Linked DNA regions of Sus scrofa. The protein of the gene in region 1 binds, or shares a complex with, the protein of each later gene. Links are inferred from orthologs where the notes say so. Each region holds a gene or a part of one and is shown on either strand. Other genes may lie near its edges.

The links.
Region 2: the proteins of MYO6 (region 1) and GIPC2 are in contact, whole or in part, in a crystal structure (PDB 5V6H), measured with the Mus musculus proteins. The link is inferred for Sus scrofa from reciprocal best matches to the Homo sapiens genes MYO6 and GIPC2. Residues at the interface, in NP_001034635.2 of Mus musculus: Ser1055, Lys1056, Trp1057, Lys1058, Tyr1059, Arg1084, Arg1085, Leu1086, Val1088, Tyr1089, Trp1092, Lys1093, Asn1096; in NP_058563.1 of Mus musculus: Glu255, Leu256, Tyr257, Met258, Gly259, Ile260, Asp262, Asp264, Leu265, Thr268, Thr289, Leu290, Asp292, Phe293, Ala294, Pro296.

Annotation. Positions count from the first base shown.
Region 1 is NC_010443.5:89,992,236-90,001,439, reverse strand, and holds the end of MYO6 (unconventional myosin-VI), read left to right. Parts: intron 1-1,997; coding exon 1,998-2,024; intron 2,025-5,617; coding exon 5,618-5,836; intron 5,837-6,760; coding exon 6,761-6,960; 3' UTR 6,961-8,580; downstream 8,581-9,204. UniProt on the Homo sapiens protein: Myosins are actin-based motor molecules with ATPase activity. Unconventional myosins serve in intracellular movements. Myosin 6 is a reverse-direction motor protein that moves towards the minus-end of actin filaments.
Region 2 is NC_010448.4:135,173,775-135,182,978, reverse strand, and holds part of GIPC2 (PDZ domain-containing protein GIPC2), read left to right. Parts: intron 1-3,332; coding exon 3,333-3,513; intron 3,514-9,204.

The DNA.
Region 1 (9,204 bases):
TTCCATTACCCTGTCTACCAAGTTTCTAACCACAGTCTTGAAAAAAATGGAAAAGGGGCTGTTCTTTTTAGCTATAATCTTCAGCTATAAGGCTCTAGTCATGACCTTTGACTGATTGGCTTTCATTATTTTCTATTTCAGAATTTATACATCTGAATGATTGCACAGAAAGAAATGACTGTTGTCGTATTCAACACACACGTTTTTAGTGAATATATATAAATATTTCTTGTATTTTTGTATCAGACCAGACTAAGATACTTTAGTATCTTACTCATCCAGCTTTGCCCCCAAAGCAACAAAGAACATGTGGCTTACCTAACTGGTGCTTATTACCATTTCCATGCATAATGTACTCTTTGGAAGAACAACAGAGTAGATTAAGAAATTTTCCAAGAGTCCCGTCCAGGTATATGAACAATTAGGAATTGTATATGGGAGTTCCTGTCGTAGCGCAGCAGAAACCAATCTGCCTAGGAACCATGAGGTTGAGGGTTTGATCCCTGGCCTTGCTCAGTGGGTTGAGGATCTGGTGTTGCCGTGAGCTGTGGTGCAGTCTGCCGATGCAGCTCGGATCTGGCATTGTTGTGGCTGTGGTGTAGGCTGGCAGTTGTAGCTCTGATTGGACCTCTAGCCTGGGAACCTCCATATGCTGAGGGAGCAGCCCAAGAAATTGAAAAAAATAAAAAAATAAAAAATAAAATGGACCTTCCTGCTCAGAAAAGTACATTATTTTTCTCTCATGTAAAATTCATTCTGACACAGGAGTAGTTAAAAGGAAAGGAGAGGACACCAAGGTGCTTCATAGCTCATTTGAGAAAATTCTATACTTTAGGTGGTTTCCTAATGCTGCAGCTGTTTGACCTTTAAAAGGAACGGCTCTGTAGTTTAATATTTAGGATTAGTATTCATTAATTTGAGATATAAAATGATGACAACTTATGTTTAGCAAAAATATAATGTACTATTATTGCATTTAAGAGTAATCCATTGACAAGTCATGGCAAATTCTTAGAATTAGGAGTTGGGAGGCTCAGCCCCTTTTTCTGTGTGCTCTACTGGGTGAGCTCGCTGTCACCACATTTACCCTAGAAAGAGGTTTTCAGAAATAATTTGGGGGGCAGTAGAAAATTATCCAGTGAAGATTTATAATATTTAGTTGCTTAAAACAGTGACTTTAGAGAATATAGTTTTATTTCACAGTTCCTAAAGTTAAAAATGTCATGAGTTTAAGATTTAAGATAATGTTAGGCAATGAAAACATATTTAGTATGTGTAAATGTGGCAATACTTTGTCTCCAAAACACATATTTTTTGATGAATTTATAAATGCTTCTTTTTTTCTCTATAGAATTCTTATAGTGCCTTAAAGCTACTATAATGTATAGTATTAAGTTATTGTTTCAGATTTTTGTTTGGCTGTCACTGTGTTCAAAAAAATTTTGGGGAGTTCCCATCGTGTCACAGTGGTTAACGAATCCGACTAGGAACCATGAGGTTGCGGGTTCGGTCCCTGCCCTTGCTCAGTGGGTTAACAATCCTGCGTTGCCGTGAGCTGTGGTGTAGGTTGCAGACGCGGCTCGGATCCTGCGTTGCTGTGGCTCTGGCATAGGCCGGAGGCTACAGCTCCGATTCAACCCCTAGCCTGGGAACCTCCATATGCCGCGGGAGCAGCCCAAGAAATAGCAACAACAACAACAACAGCAAAAAAGACAAAAGACAAAAAAAAAAAAAAAAAAAAAAAAACAAACAAAAACTTGGGTCCTCTTTGTACATCTATTAAGCAGAATTTCCTGAAAATATATCAAAATAGCTTTTAAAAAAAATTGGAAAGGAGCATTTACTTGTAGGTAATCCTGGGATTATTTGGCTCTGGCTAGGATATTTATTTGTAGTCATCACCTCCATTGATGGGAAGGCATTATAATTTAGAAGAATGCTCAGTCAACAGTTTTGGCATTTTTATCTTTTCTTCAATATCAAATATTTGTTCACAGATTTTGCACCATTTTTGAACAATTCACGTAAGTCAATGGTAACTCATGAGCTAACTGGAAGATGGGCTAAAAATACTTTATAAAGTACTAACTTCTATTAAACATTGTTTTGCTACAATTTTAAGGGGAGTTATAGTCCATTAATGTTGGTGGATCTGTACTAAGATATTTGATTTGAGATGATGCTTTTATTTGGATCATTCCAAAATATATATGCAGAGCAAAATTTAATTTATTATTATCAAATAATTTCCTTTAAAAAAAACTAGCTTTTAAACTGAGTATATACACAATTCTTATTGTAGCAAAACTCTATCTCAATAATCAGCTGATCTTTTAGAATAAATAACTTTAGGTGGTGGTTTCATATACTCTTATAGTATAAGCATTTCTGTCCAGAGAGATTTGAGTTTTATATGATAATGTGTACAAGCTTAATAGAATACCTCTTAATAGGAAGGGGAGATTATTCTTTTCTCTCTCTTTTTTTTTTTTGTCTTTCTAGGGCCACACCCACAGCATATGGAGGTTCCTAGGCTAGGGGTCATCAGAGTTGTAGCCGCTAGGCTACACCACAGCCACAGCAGCACTGGATCCTCACCCACTGAACGGGCCAGGGATCGAACCTGTGTCCTCCTGGATGCTAGTCAGATTTGTTTCCACTGAGCCACGACAGGAACTCCTCTTTTCCTTTTATAGCTGCCCATGGTGCAGTTTTTTATTTTATTTATTTTTAATGGCCTCACCTATGGCATATGGAAGTTCCCCTTATGTCTTCTTTCACATTAGACTACAAAATCCCTCAGAAAAGGGATGGAGCCTTCCTCATCTATGTGTCCTCAGAATCTACCATTCATAGGTACATCATAGCTCCCAACACTGCTTGACATTCACTCATGGAGGAACTTAGACTGATGTGTGATGGGAAACAGAACAAGGCACCGTCAGAGTGAGCCCAGGTTTAGGAAGAGCTCCAATTAGAAGAAATAGCCTTGGCCACTGAGGCTTGGCCCATGTGTTTTACTGCCCATGTCAGTGTTCTGGAGGCTTCATTCCTGGCAAGTGATTCTGAATCCAGTTGATATCATAATTGCACAGCCCATTGCAGTTTGAACAATAATCCACAATCCTCTGACTTGTTTATTTCTTTTTAGGGCTGTACCTGCAGCAAATGGAAGTTCCTGGGCCAGGTGGGGAATCAGAGCTGCAGCTGCCAGCCTACACCATAGCCACAACAACACTGGTTCCAAGCCACATCTGTGGCCTACTCCACAGATTGCAGCAATATCGGATCCTTAATCCAATGAGGGAGGCCAGGGATCTAACCTTGCATCTGCATAGACACTGTGTTAGGTTCTTAATCCACTGAGCCACATTGGGTACTCCTATTTTTTGATAGTTTAAAAGCTTTGAGTCATCTTTGTGTACAGTAGATTTCTTATAAGTCATTTGAGCAGTAATGATTTGAATATAATGCCATATTTATCTGCCAACTCATTGAACATGCTTTTTTTTTAAGTGCTTCTAATGGAGTTCCTTTTGTTGCTCAGTGGTTAATGAACCTGACTAGGATCCATGAGGACGTGGGTTTGATCTCCGACCTCACTCAGTGGGTTAAGGATCCAGCATTGCTATAAGCTGTGGCGTAGGTTGATTCGACTCCTAGCCTGGGAACCTCCATAATGCTGTGGGTGTGCCCCCAAATAGCAAAAAACAAAGTGCTTATACTAATTTACAGGGCTACACTTGAAACTTATTCATACTTTTAAAATAACACAATTGGATTTGAAAGAAATGATTGTTTAGAAATTAGTTTCAGGAGTTCCTTTCATGGCCCAGTGGTTATAAGGATGTGTGTTTGATCCCTAGCCTTGCTCAGTGGTTTAAGGATCTGGCATTGCCGTGAGCTGTGGTGTAGGTTCTCAGGCACAGCTTGGATCCTGCATTGCTGTGGATGTGGTGTAGGCCAGAAGCTATAGCTCCGATTAGAAGCCTAGCCTGGGAACTTCCATATGCTGCACGTACGGCCCTAAAAAGCAAAAAAAAAAAAAAAAAAAAAAAAAAAAAAAATCCAATTGAATATTTTTATTTTAAAAGAATAAAAGTAGATTAGTCTTACTGGTGGCCATTAGTATTGCAGTGTTTCTGGTCAAGGAACACTGAGCTCTAATTCACTACTTAACACAGAGGGAAGGGTTTGTTTTATAAAATGTCTTAGTTTTGAGTTAGTATACTCTCTGAAGAGTAGATAGTTTTTAAAACTTGAAATCGATACACTAAACTGTAAGTTGTTTTGAGGAAACAGGAACAAGAGAATAAATAAACTCATCTCTGTTAATGTGCTAAAGGTTACGGCTTTTTAAGTCACTAACAAATCTGGGTCTTTTCCTTTCCTTCATAGGCATATACATCTTTGCTAACTGCTTTTTGCTCTCTCTTGTTTGCATGGAAATAAATTCAGCTATTGGTAAATGTAAACCTTTTACTATTGGTGTAAAAAATAAGGAGTAATTTCATCCTTTCAGTACTTGGAAAATCTTAAAAAGGCATGTGACTGTCCTTGACTTATGCATATTATATAATTTTTCATTGACATACTTAGCTTTTCAGTGAGATTCTTAATTGAGATGCAGTCAATGATTAAAGTTGTGAGCATAGAGCCCATATTAAACAGATTTACCAAAATGACACTCCTAAAAATATAGTCATTGTACCAGAGAACTGTTTATTTTCAAAAACAAACAAAAAACAACAAAAAAACAACTTCTCATTGTTTAGTAATGAAAATTGAGCAAGGGAAAAAAGATTGCTAGGAACCCAAAGTATTAGCAGAAAAGTAAGCATTTTTCTTTTCTGTTAGCAAGGAGAACCAAATATTATACACTTTCCACTTATCTTCAGTGGATTTTTTTTCCAGAAGTCTGATTTCAGAGTAAGTGAATCTCTGAGTGAAAGTTCATGCTTACTGTTAGGGTTTTGATGTCATAAAGTTATGTTAGTAAAATGTTTGTGTTATCTGGGCCATTTTAAACCCCAAAATCAGTTGGCAAAGGAGAAAACTTTTAGGTCTTTTTGAGGAAATTGTGATTCAGTTGACAAATGCCTATAATCCTGGAGAGTTGTGAAATTACTGTCTAGTTGTTCCATCATGAATCATCCTGTAAAAGTTATTCTGCAGCCTTCACTTGAACTCCTTGGAGGAAAACTATAAGTTGAGCAAACAACACTAGTTTGCTCTCCTGCCATGTAAGATCATTTTAGTATAGGTACAATCATTTGTGGGAATCTGCTGGGAGCTGGTAGTTGTTATTGCTGCTGCTGCTGCTGCTGCTGCTGCTGCTGCTGCTGGTGTGGGTGTATGTGTGTATGTGCGTGTATATGTGTGTATGTGTATGTATATATGTGTATGTTTGCAGTGCCAAGATACATCTTCAGGGAAAGAAATTTCTAAGAAATCGCACTTAGAATTATATTCATTTATAGGCAATTCATATTTACATTTTGCTTGAAATTGACTATTAGGAACCCCTCTTCTTCCTTTTTTAAAAACAAGTGGTGCACTTTAGGATTAAAGGCTGCTTTCGTTATCCTGGTGTGACTGTCCTTATTCCCTGTGACAGCTCAGCAGAACCCAGCAGTGCAGCTCCCTGCCAGGCAGCAGGAGATCGAAATGAACCGGCAGCAGCGTTTCTTCCGCATTCCGTTCATCCGCCCTGCGGACCAGTACAAAGACCCTCAGAATAAGAAGAAAGGCTGGTGGTATGCCCATTTTGATGGACCGTGGATCGCCCGGCAAATGGAACTTCATCCTGACAAACCACCCATCCTCCTTGTGGCTGGTGTGTATGATTCACATGCAATCAAAAATAATTATAAAGCATAAAAGGACTACGTGCCCTCAGAGTGAAACAGTGTAATATACCATGATGTAATCTTTCCTTAAACTTCAGGGTCAGGAGCAGGCATGGAGTTTTGCAGTTAAGTCATCTCTGTTGAAGATCACTTATTTGTGGTGTGAGGTTGCTTGGGTTAATTATGTCCTTGTAGAACACATAGAAACTTATCTGTGTCTTAAGAACCTTTTCTTGGGTGTTTAATTGTATCATTTGCTTTCTAATGGTTAAATGTAGCCTTTTTAGTAACCCTGGTAACTGGTTTGATCAACTGCACTTTTAATACATTTTGAAAGGGTACTTGCTCAAGGACAGATTTATTTCTGGCCAATTTATTAAGCAGATTTCAATCTTGAAGGAAATAAAGGTTTTTTTAAAAAATATTTTAAAGTATAGTTGATTTACAATGTGCCAGTTTTTGCTGTATAGCAGAGTGGCTCAGTTTTATATATATAGTCTTATATTCTTTTCCATCATGTTCTGTCCCAAGAGACTGGACATAGTTCCCTATGCTATATAGTAGGCCCTCATTGTTATCCATTCTAAATGTAGTAGTTTGCATCTACTAACCACAAACTCCCCGTCCATCCCACTCCCTCCTCCCTCCCCCCTGGTAACCACCAGTCTCTTCTCTGTGAGTCTGTTTCTGTTTTATGAATAGGTTCATTTGTGCCTTACTTTAGATTCCACATGTAAATGATATCATAATGGCATTTGTCTTTTTCTGACTTCACTTAGTGTAATAATCTCTGAAATAAAGTTTTAAAAGTTCTCAAATCTCTGCAAATTGATAGACATGTCAGGAGTAAAGTTTACAGTAAATGGTTCTGGAAGGAGGTGTGGTAATTCTCTGATGTCTCGTGTTTGCAGGTAAGGATGACATGGAGATGTGTGAGCTGAATCTTGAAGAGACAGGCCTGACTCGAAAGCGTGGTGCAGAGATTTTGCCAAGACAGTTCGAAGAAATTTGGGAACGCTGTGGAGGCATCCAGTATCTTCAGAATGCAATTGAGAGCAGACAGGCTAGGCCCACATATGCCACGGCCATGCTGCAGAACCTGTTAAAGTAGAAGTTGCACTAACCTTGCAGCTGGGAGCTCTTGCCATGGTACTGGGTAGGGAGTGTGCCCCAGACATTGACCCATTCCAGGATCCAGTTAGAGTTATGTAAACAAAGTGAACAGATTTTATTAATCATGGCTTTTTGTTAATTTAAGGTTAATTACAGTAGTGAATTGGGGACCTGAAAATTAGTTTCTTGTATCCAGCTATAACTGTTGAACCTCTCATGATTTTAATACTTGTTACACTTGGGCAGATTCTGAACCATTTCTCATTCTTTGCCAACAGACTACCTTAAATCTATCATCACTGTTCTTGAGGAAAAGAAGTTTTTTAAAAAAATGCAGATTTCTTGCTTTTTAAGAATGACACAGTACCATATAACTGGAATAAAGAAAACTTAGTTTCAGTTTTCCTACAAAACTAAGGCGCTTAAAATGATAAAGCACTGATGTTTTGATCTGAAAGCTGTGAATTTTATTCATTTTTTCAGAAATTAATGGCATTTCCGTCAAAGGTAGAAATTTTTATTTTCCTCACTCTTTTGCAGTGTTTTATTTGAGTAAAGCAATTTACCTGAAATTCTAGAATTCTGGAAGAACCTAAATGTATTTGATGCTATCTGTGACAAAGAAGGTACATAGTATCCTGCAGAGATGTGTTTTGGTTTTCTGTCACATTGTATTGCTATAAGAATATGTTTCATGGACAAATAAAGGAAATTCAGATCATTTAAATGCTTACAAGTTTGAGATAACTTTGGTTTCATTTAGAAAAGGAAATAAGTTTTAGGTGGCACTGTGGCTTAACTGGACTGAATTCAAATATTCTTTCAATTTCATCTCAGTTGCAATTTTGTATCAGAATCTTGTCCAAGTTGTTTCATGTGATTTGAGCTAGTTTTCTGCTTCAAAACATCTTTGGTTTTAAAAAATTCCTGTTGTCTTTTTTTTTGGCCTTTGAGATTTTGGTAATTGTAGAGCTCTTTTATAAGCTTTGTAGTTCAAATCCCTACACTTAGGAATTGCTTGTTTCATGTAACTGATAATTTAAAAAAATTGTTTTGTTGGTGTGCTGTTAGTTTTGCTCAAATGTCAGCAGTTTCAAGCCTAATATTTATGACTTTCATATTAGAAATTTGGAAACAAAAATACATCAAGGAGTTATGTTGACATAATTCTAAGGAGTCTTGTTTGTATTTTAGAATAAAATTAGAAAATAAAATTATTCTCTGTACTTCTTTCCCCCATGATTGTTAAAGACTCTAACCTTAGAAATGAATTTCCAGTGATTTTTTTTTTTTTTCCCTAGAAAGAGTACTTAGTTAGGAAAGTACTTCCCAGCTGATTGGATTAGTGCTTGTGAGTCAGACATTGTTTTCAGACCTGCTTCTCTCATGATATGTCTTAGTATAGAAATATTTATTTATTATGATACTGAGCAGATGATTGTCTTCTGTTAAAAGAATTAAATGGTCCTGTCTGTGCTATTGAGAATGTGAACATGATTATCGTTTGAAGACTGTATTACCACATGGACTTGCCTATGCTTGGTCATTTGGGCCCTATGATTTGGTGACAGAAGGTCTGGTTACTGAAAATAAATGACCCTTCTCCCTCTTCTCATCACTTGCTTTGAACTGGTTTTTATTCGGATAGGATAGTGAATGATAAGCTTTTTTTCTTGACTGGTAACAAGTAGAGTCTTTGAAAAAAAATTTAGGAACCAGATTGATGTCGAATGAGTTGTCCCTTTAGTACTGTTTTCAGAACCAGTTTTCTTTCTTCGTGTGTGTGTGTGTGTGTGTGTGTCTTTTCTAGGGCCACATCCACAGCATATGGAGGTTCCCAGGCTAGGGGTGTAATCGGAGCTGTAGCTGCCAGCCTACACCAGAGCCACAGCAACACGGGATCCAAGCCATGTCTGTAACCTACACCATAGCTCAGGGCAATGTCAGATCCTTAATCCACTGAACGAGGCCAGGGATTTAACCGGCAACCTCATGGTTCCCAGTTGTATTCGTTAGCCAGTGAGCCACCACGGGAACTCCCAGAACCAGTTTTCTGTGTCTTTGTGATATGTAGGCACTAGAAAGAAAACTAGTCAAACAGGCTAAAATTACTGTAATGAGAGAACTTAATGTTTTGAAGAATTTGTAAGAAATATATCACAGCAAAGAATTGATACAGGTCTTTAAGTTTTTTATTTTAAGAGTTAATGAAATTAGTTAGCCTTAAGCCATTTTGTTGCTA
Region 2 (9,204 bases), on another chromosome or scaffold:
ATTTAATAGTACTGCATGGTTCTCACAGATGAAATTCTTTTTTTTTTTTTTTTTTTTTTTTTTTGTCTTTTTAGGGCTGCACCTGAGGCATATGGAGGGCTAGGGGTCGAATCAAGGGGGGCAGGGGGTTCTGGGATGCAAGCTGATATCTTTGAGAAGAGGCACATAAAGCCAAAATAGAAGTGGAAATCTGAGAAAATAGGTAACGTTTGAGATCTGGAGGCCATGATTCAGACGAAGAATAGCTTTGGTAGAGGTAAGAAAAAGTGGAGTAGGAGGGTGGGGATTGTTTAAAAAATTTGGAGTTCAAAGGTGATAGGTCACTTTTCCCGCTTTATTGAGATGTAATTGCCATATAACACTGTATAAATTTAAGTTGTGCAATGTGTCAGTTTGATACACTTATATATCATAAAATGATTATCAAGGTGATAAGTCATTTTGGATAATTCTGACCCCAGAGTCTGCCCTTGGCATCAGAAGATCTTGGGTTCTTCATCTGATGGCCCTTTCTTTTTTAACTAGCCATTTGATCTTGTATTAGTTAGACATTTTTTTGTGTGTGTGTCTTTTTTAGGGCCGCACCCACAGCATATGGAAGTTCCCAGGCTAGGGATCTAATTGGACCTGTAGCCACCAGCCTACGCCAGAGCCACAGCAATGTGGGATCCGAGCCAAGTCTGTGATCTACACCACAGCTCACGGCAATGCCGGATCCTTAACCCACTGAGTGAGCCCAGGGATCGAATTCGCAACCTCATCATTCCTAGTTGGATTCATTAACCACTGAGCCATGATGGGAATTCTTAGTTAGACATTTTTGATCCGGAGTGTTTTTTGGAAAGTTCTTGATGTCTTATACCCCCCGTGTTTGAAATCCAGTTTTGTTGTAATGGAATATGATAGAGGATAATGTGAGAAAAAGATGTATATATATTTGATATATATATTTGACTGGGTCACTTTGCTGTACAGTAGAAAATTGACAGAACGCTATAAATCAACTATAATGGAAAAAAATAAAAATCATTAAAAAAAGAAATCCAGTTATGTTGCTTTTTAGCTGTGTTATTTTGGTTAAGCCATGTCTTCACTGTGCCTTGATTTCCTCATTCACTAATGGAATAATACATATTCCTTTCCCAGGCTTGTTAGGACTAAATGAAATCACTATTTATAGTTGTTACCAGAATGTTCATTATTATGAACATGGTTTGAGGCCAGTGTTTGGAGAGTCAGCAGCACAGACTCTGAGTTGCTCTCCATGGCAGTAGGCTTGGCTCAGACAATCTTGAATTAGTGCTTAAGACTTTGAGGACAGCATTTGGAGTGGATAAGCAATGAGATTCTGCTCTATATCTAGTCACTTGTGATGGAACATGATGGAGAATAATATGAGAAAAAGAATGTATATACATATATGTGTGGCTGGGTCACTTTGCTATACAGTAGAAAACTGATAGAACACTGTAAACCAACCATAACGGAAAAAATAAAAATCATTAATCATTTAAAAAAAAAAAAAAGACTTTATGGACAGTGGGTTGGCATGCTAGAGTTCTGCTGTTCTGTGATGAGAATCTAGAATTCTTTAATTATATGGGATGAATTAATGAAAGTTAATATAATGATGGTCTGAAATATTTGGGAACCTCTAAGTTGAATAGTATTGTGAGTCCCATTGTCCAAAAAAGATTTGCTGTTGTCTTTGCCTTTCGCAGGACTGAGCTCCAAAGCGAGATGTGGGAGTGTTCTAAGTGTTACAGAGAATGTTAAGTGACTCAGTAAATGATAAATAGAGAATTAATGCCTCTTTTTCCTTGCTAGTCCTTTGTGCCCGAGTAGCAGAGTTCTAGTAATATTGTTCATCTCTATTAAGCTATGGTATGATTAGTAAAGTATATTAGATTTCAGAAACTTGTCTCAATTGCTACCTCATTCTTTATCTATTTATTTAGGAAGCTAAGGCCCAGGTAACCCACAAAATATACAATCAGTGTCTCCTACTTTGTTTCTATATCTGGTTCACTTATGGTGCCCTTTTCTAAGTTTCTTATCCTGATTTTCCTCTCTTCATCCCAGAATCTTATTTGCTGCCCCTGATCATTACATATTTCTCTTGACCACCTGGATTCTCACCTTGCTGCCTGCTGACTTCTGGTAACCGCCTTTCCTTCTTCTGTCTGAGCCCTGTTCTGGGGACTTCTGTGGCTACTCTGCTGTTTAGGTGATAAGATTCATACATGTCTTTAAAGTGTTTCATTTAGTTTCATATAACACTTATTTATTTTTTATTTTATTTTTCACCACACCCATGGCATGTGATATTTCCTGGGCTAGGGATCGAATCCATACCACAGCCATGACCTGAGCTGCTGCAGTGATGCCGGATTCTTAACCTGTTGTGCCACAAAGGAACTCCAATGTAACGCTTATTTTATTTCTTTTTGTCTTTTTAGGGCCGAACCCGCAGCATATGGAAGGTCCCAGGCTAGGGTTCAAATCGGAGCTACAACTGCTGGCCTACGCCACAGCCATAGCAACGTGGGATCTGAGCCACATCTGGAACCTACACCACAGCTCACAGATGTGCCGAATCTCCGACCCACTGAGCGAGGCCAGGGATCAAACCTCACCTATCTCTTTAAGTACCAGTTTTCTGAGCTAAGGTTGTACCAATTCTTGTCTTGCATTTGTAGCTAAGGTTGAAATAATATAGCTGGTAGAAAAAACTCAGGCTTTATTCTGATGTAATGGACCTCATGTTGAAATGATTCAGCAGTCATTTAAGGAGGGATTTTTCTGTGTGGTCATTATGCTGGGCACAGGGCGTACAATGGTGAATAAGACCATCTCTGTCCCCAAGGATATTATAATTTAACAGCAGAGACTGAGGGGGTAAATGAACAATTGCACTGTGGTATGTTGAATCTGTGAAATCACCTGATCCTCCTGATCTATGACCTGAGTCTCTCATAAAGGTTGTTAAACGAGATAGCGAATGTAAAGTGCTTAGCTCAGAGCCCAGCAGAAAATACCGCAGAAGCATGAGAGGACCCTTTACCTAGTCTTGAGGGAATAGGCTGGGAGGTGTCAGGAAAAGCTGCTTGGAGGAGGTGGGGACTGTGATGGAGCTGAATTTTGCAAAGAAACAAGAAGAATGGGTTGGGTTTAGGACGGTTGTCTGTTGTTGCTTGGTCTTCTGTCTTTAAGGGAACATTACACTGCATTATGGATATTGTCAGTACATTGAATATAATGTCTCAAGAACATGAAAAGTAATGTTACTCAGTTCTATTTTATATTAAGCATTATCCTTAATTTTCTTTCAGAGAATTAAAGATGGCAGTGTAATTGACTCTGTTAAAACGATCTGTGTGGGGGACCACATCGAATCCATCAATGGAGAAAATATCGTTGGGTGGCGTCACTTTGATGTTGCCAAGAAGTTAAAGGAATTAAAAAAAGAGGAACTCTTTACCTTGAAGTTAATAGAACCTAAAAAGGCCTTTGGTGAGTGAAATGTTCCCCTGGCTTATCTTTTAAGGGACATGAGTCCTGGAATATAGCGCCATGTGCTTATGCCTATCAGTTAAGAGCATAGGAAATGGTAGACAGCACTGCTTAGAAGGAAAACAAGCATTGAAGGAGAAAAAAAATTGCCTAGAAGGACATTTTCTTAAAAAGACATTTGGAGTTATAAAGTCTAGTGTCTAGTGGCTCTGAATTTGTTCCAGATGCCAAGAACAGCACATTGTATTGCATTCATCCTGCTGAGCAGGGAGATTTTCGATTGAGCTCTCTAAACAGTAGTAAATGTCATTCATGGACCTTAACAGCAAAAACTTTAGCTACACACAGAATTGGTGTTTAAAGGAATTAGCTAGTCTATCTGAAAGACTTCCTTCAATGCGTTTCCTCCCTTAGCCTTTTGAATTTGGCAAATGTGGACCGATATGAAATTACTTCTGCTTTGGTGTGACATCTGTACTTGTTTGGTTTTAGCCATGGCAGCTGTGTTCCAACTGTTGTTCAAACCCCCAGGGCCATCTCATCTACAGGAAAATGTGCCAGCTTCTCTCTCTCTACCCAGCACTATTTTAATAAGCCAACTGATGCTTTAGTGTTCATCAGTGTTAAAATACTTTTCGGCAGAATCATTCTGGGCCTGCCCTTACTCACCCGGCAACTCCACCCACCTAATATTCTTCCCTTTGCTCACAAAACATAAATATTCCATTTGTCTTGAATGGCTATTTTCTCAGGGCAATTCAGGATAATGATGGGAGAATGCAGTGGGTCTGGGGAAACACATTTCCCTTCCCTTAGCAAGTAAGGGTCCACTCTTAGCCATCTGAAATTGAGAAATTGTCTCTGCTTCCAAGCAATTCTCTGTCATTTACTAGAAATACAGTGTAAGTGGTATTGCTTATGGGAGACAGAATTCTGAAAAAAAAAAAAAAAATGTAAGAAAAGGACGCCTTATTGCCTAGCGCTGCTCCTGGAGGGACCGTTCCAGGAACCGCTGGTGCAGAGACTCAGATTCTGCCTGTTGTATAACAGCATCTGAGCTCTCTTCCTGCAGAGGAAGGTGGGCCAGCTCTCAGATTTCTATCCAGCAGGTCCTTTTGTAATGGCTTTGTTTGGTAACCAACTTTCAGGTTGGTTAGGCTGATGGTAAGTATTCGATTTAAGCTCTTTGTAAATCAAAGTTATTCTCTTAGTACAACTCAAGGAATGGAATTTCTTTCTACATCTATATCCTCCACATCATCTGTTTTCTAGAGTTAATCTCTTCCTATATTTCCTTGCCTGCATGTAAATCATGTGGTCCCTGGGCTTTTTGTAGCAAGTTGCTGATACACCTTAACTTGAATGTGAGGTTGGTAATAGTCTTGGTTGTTACAGAGGTCACTGTGTTTAGCTATTATCGCTCCATGATTAGATTTTTCCCCCTCAATATCTGAGACCCATGTGTAGATGGTTAATGTACTTTACTGCCTATGTGCCTCCTGAAGCTACTCTTCTTTTTTTTTTTTTTTGGCTGCACCTGTGGCATGTGGAAGTTCCTAGGCCAGGGATTGAACCTGAGCCACGGCAGTGACAATGCTGAGTCCTTAACTGCTAGGCCACCAGGGAACTCCCTGAACCTTCTCCTTTGCTTCACATGAATTCCACAAAAAAATCTGAGAATGACAAAGAGTAGTAGTTTCCTAATGAGAGTATATTGTTTTGGCATCGCATGTTCCGATGGTGTGGGGGTTAGGATACCTGGAGACTGATTTTGGAGCAGGGACAAGTTTTTATTCTCCAAGGTCCCAACAGTAGCTTATCTCAATTTAACCCCAATTAAATCTGCTGGTCTAAATGCATTTTCCACTCTGTGGATTAATCTTTGTTTTGGGGCCCTAGCCTGGGAACTTCTCTCTTAGAAGTAGGCCTCACTGCTCTGCCCATCCTTCAGCTCTTAAATTTGGTGATGTTTTTGCCTCTAGGATAAAGGTAATGCTAGTTTGTTCCTCATCCTGTGGCCTCATTCCTGTGCGTGGCCTTTTTCCAGTGAGGGAGCATATATCAGGAGGCACCTGGGGAACCATGCTTGGCTCCATTCTCTTCATCTCAGTCTAATCTTTTGCTTTGTGTCCTTCCTTCCTCTGTTTTTCTAGCGTTTTCATTGATGCGTTGCTTCAGATTTAAAGTCCTTCATGATTGTCTGACTCTGTCCTCTTGGATTCCTACCAGGAGAAAGGGCAAAGTGAAGCAAAATTCTTTTCTCTGCATTTAAATAGGCCATTTTGGCTGAAGTTAAGTCATTTCTGGGACTTTTTCAAAAGCTGTCGGAAATAGCCACACATTCCAGTATTTTGACTTTTTCCAACCAACTTCGCTCAAGATTTATTCTGGGGAGGTTTGTTAGACAGTGTCCCAAAGTACAGGATGGGGGGCTGCTTTGTGGGAGCATAACAAAGGTTATGAACACAATCTCTCAGCCATTGATAAAGGAACCCTTATTGCCCGCTCTATTTGCATCATTTAGGTCCCTACCCACATCCCTCTTGTAGCGGCCACTCTTTGTGTCAAGATTATTTGAGAGCTCTGGAATAAGCACTATCTATAATTTAAAGAAAAAGCATTTTTTTTTTTTTTTTGGAAAGACTATCAGGTAGGTCTCAGAAACAAAAAGACAATCAAGTCTTGGGAAGGTAGGAACCAAGGCTGTTTCAGGGATGTGCAAACCAGGAACCCTTCATGGTACTGGCTTAGTTGCCTCCTTCCAGTTATTCCCTAATTTTTTTTTTTTTTTTTTGTCATTCCCAGGGCATGTGGCTGTTCTGGGGCCAGGGATCAAACCTGTGCCACATCAGGGACAATGACAGATCTTTAACTTGCTGAGCCACCGGGGAACTCCTATTCCTTATTTTCATGTTACTTCACTGAGGATTCAAATTCCTGGAGTGGAAGGGGACTGATTAGGTTATGCGTCCATCCTGATAGTGGGAGGGCAGGCTACAAGACCCATCAAAATCACACAGAGCAGTGAAAGTGGGGGAGTTTCCTTTGGGTAGGAAAAAGCAGATGTTTACCATTTCTCTAAGCTGCTGTACCTTGTTCTTTAGGCAGAGAAGGGTTAGTTTTCTCTTATCTTTGAATCTGACTATAGCCATGCATGATGCTGTCAGTCTGAGTGTGTCAGAATCTAGAGAGATGAGGGTATTGGCAACTGGCTTTGGGTGTCTTGTTATAAGGATTTTATTATTCTAAGAGTTAGGTGCTGTATAAATGGTTATTTGGCAATGAGATATCTGGAGGCCATAACAGTATCAAGCTTTCTCTCAGAAAAGACTAAAGCCATCATATTTGAAGGGGCCTCACTTTGTAGATTTGGACTGTACTCTTGGAAGGTCCTTCATTTATGTATCCCAGAAATAAAATTTCAGAATTTGCTGTGTTCCAGATACTGTGCTAGCCATAGCAGATACTAAGAAAGAAGACTAAGCTATAGCTCCTGCCTTTTGAGAAGCTCACTCTGGGAGGGGACCATTATGGACCAAATTGCTTCCCCTAAAATTTGTATGTTGAAGTCAATTTTCAATACCTCAGAATGTGACTACATTTAGAGATAGGGTCTTTAAAGAAGTAATTAACCTAAAACGAGGTCATTGGTGTAGCCTGCTGGTCCAATATGACTGGTGTATTTATAAGAGGACATTTGGACATGGAGACACATAGAGGGAGAATACTATGTGAACATGAAGACAGCCATCTATAAGCCCAGGAGAGAGGCCTTAGAAGAAAGCAACCCTGGTGAAATCTTGATAATGGAATTACAGCCTACATAAGTGTAAGAAAATAGGTTTTTGTTGTTTAAGCCATGTGGTCCTTTGTTATGGCAGCCCTAGGAAACTAATATTAAGCAAAAAGAAAAGAAAAGATAGTGCAAGTTCTTTGTGGCAGTAGATCTTGGACTTCCTAACAATATAGAAGTTACAGATTAGGTATCTTAGCAGTCCTATGGCTTTGGGCAGATGGAAAATACATACTAGTATGTTTTCATTCATGGAATGTTTGAGTGATTAGCATATGCTGGTCTTAGGGTGCTTGTTGCTGGGGTGCTAGTCACTATTTATTGAGACCCTACTGGGTTCCAGCACTATACTACATGCTTGGTATATCCATAAAAAGATCTAATTCTTTCTTTTAAATAACTTGTACCTAATGGGAATAGATGGATATCAAAAAATTTCAAAAAGGGTGTTAGAATGTACTGGACATCTCAAAGTGGGATACACCAAAGCAACCAAGGCATTTAGGAAAAACTTTCCAGAGAAGGAATTTAAGCAGCATCTTAAAAGAGGCTTGCTCAGTGAACAAATCAGAGAAAGCTGTCCTAGCGAGTAGGAATAGAATAAGACAAGGTGCAGAAGCATGAGGCAGTATCATATAGCTGGGAATGTGATGTATATTGATGTAGTGGAATGGAGATTATAGATGGTGGTGTGGCAGGAAATGAAGCTCCAGAGTCAGTGGGGACCAAATTATTGAGGGCCTGATATATGAAGATAGAAAATGAGCAATGGAGAATCACTGAAGTAGTTTAGGCAGGGGAGAAACATAATGAAATTTATATTTGGAGACTGTCAGAGGGAGGAATGGATTATGACTTATTGATTTATGGATTATGACTTTATTGATTTATAAATAAATCAATATTTATTCAATAAAGACTCAATAAAGACTCTTTTGTGTTGAGGAGAATGAAGATGAGACCCTGAGTTAAGGCAGTGCCAATAGACATGGAGATAAGACGTGGTTCTGAGGAATAGACAGGGGTGTGCTGGAGCCCTATGTGCTCATCTCTTTACAATTTTATGTTCCTGGTGCAGTGGTATCAAGTTGGCTGCTTGAAATCGCCATTTACATCACAGAAATAGGCAGGTGCTGCAGGTCAAGGCTTTTTTTTTTTTTTTTTTTTAAACCTGGAAAGCTGACTGTTAGACATTTATCTGCATAAAACACTGGACACTAAGAAGGTAGAATTGGTAACCCAATGGATGTAGAGGTAAAGGAAAGGAAATTGCAAGTGATGACCTACAGATTTGTGGCTTGAGTATGGTGTCATTCTTTGAGAGGAGGAAAACTGGAAAAGAAATAGACTTGTGTGAGGCAATAGGAAGAGAAATTGTACTTACAGCACAATTTTGAGTCTTAAGAATTTGAAATATGAGGAACAGTTTGGTTGGAAATGTGTAAGACATAGATGGGTATTTAGAATTGGGTCCTAGGGGAGTTCCTGCTGTTATGCAGTGAGTTAGGAGTCCACCTGCAGTGGCCTTGTTCCCCAGTTCAATCCCTGCCCTGGCACAGTGGGCTAAGGATCCAGTGTTGCTGCAGCTGTGTTGTAGATCGCAGCTGTGGCTCAGATTTGATCCCTGGACTGGGAACTTGCATATGCTGCAGGTGCAATAAAAAAAAAAAATTGCAGGGGGTGAGTTGCCACTATGGTGCAGTGGGTTAAGAATCTGCAGGAGTTCCTATCATGGCTCAGCAGAAACGAATATGACTAGCATCCATGAGGATGCAGGTTCGATCTCTGGCCATGCTCAGTGGGTTAAGGATCCAGCATTGCTTTGAGCTGTGGTGTATATCGCAGATGTGGCTCGGATCTGGTGTTGTGGTGGCTGTGGTGCAGGCCAGTGGCTACAG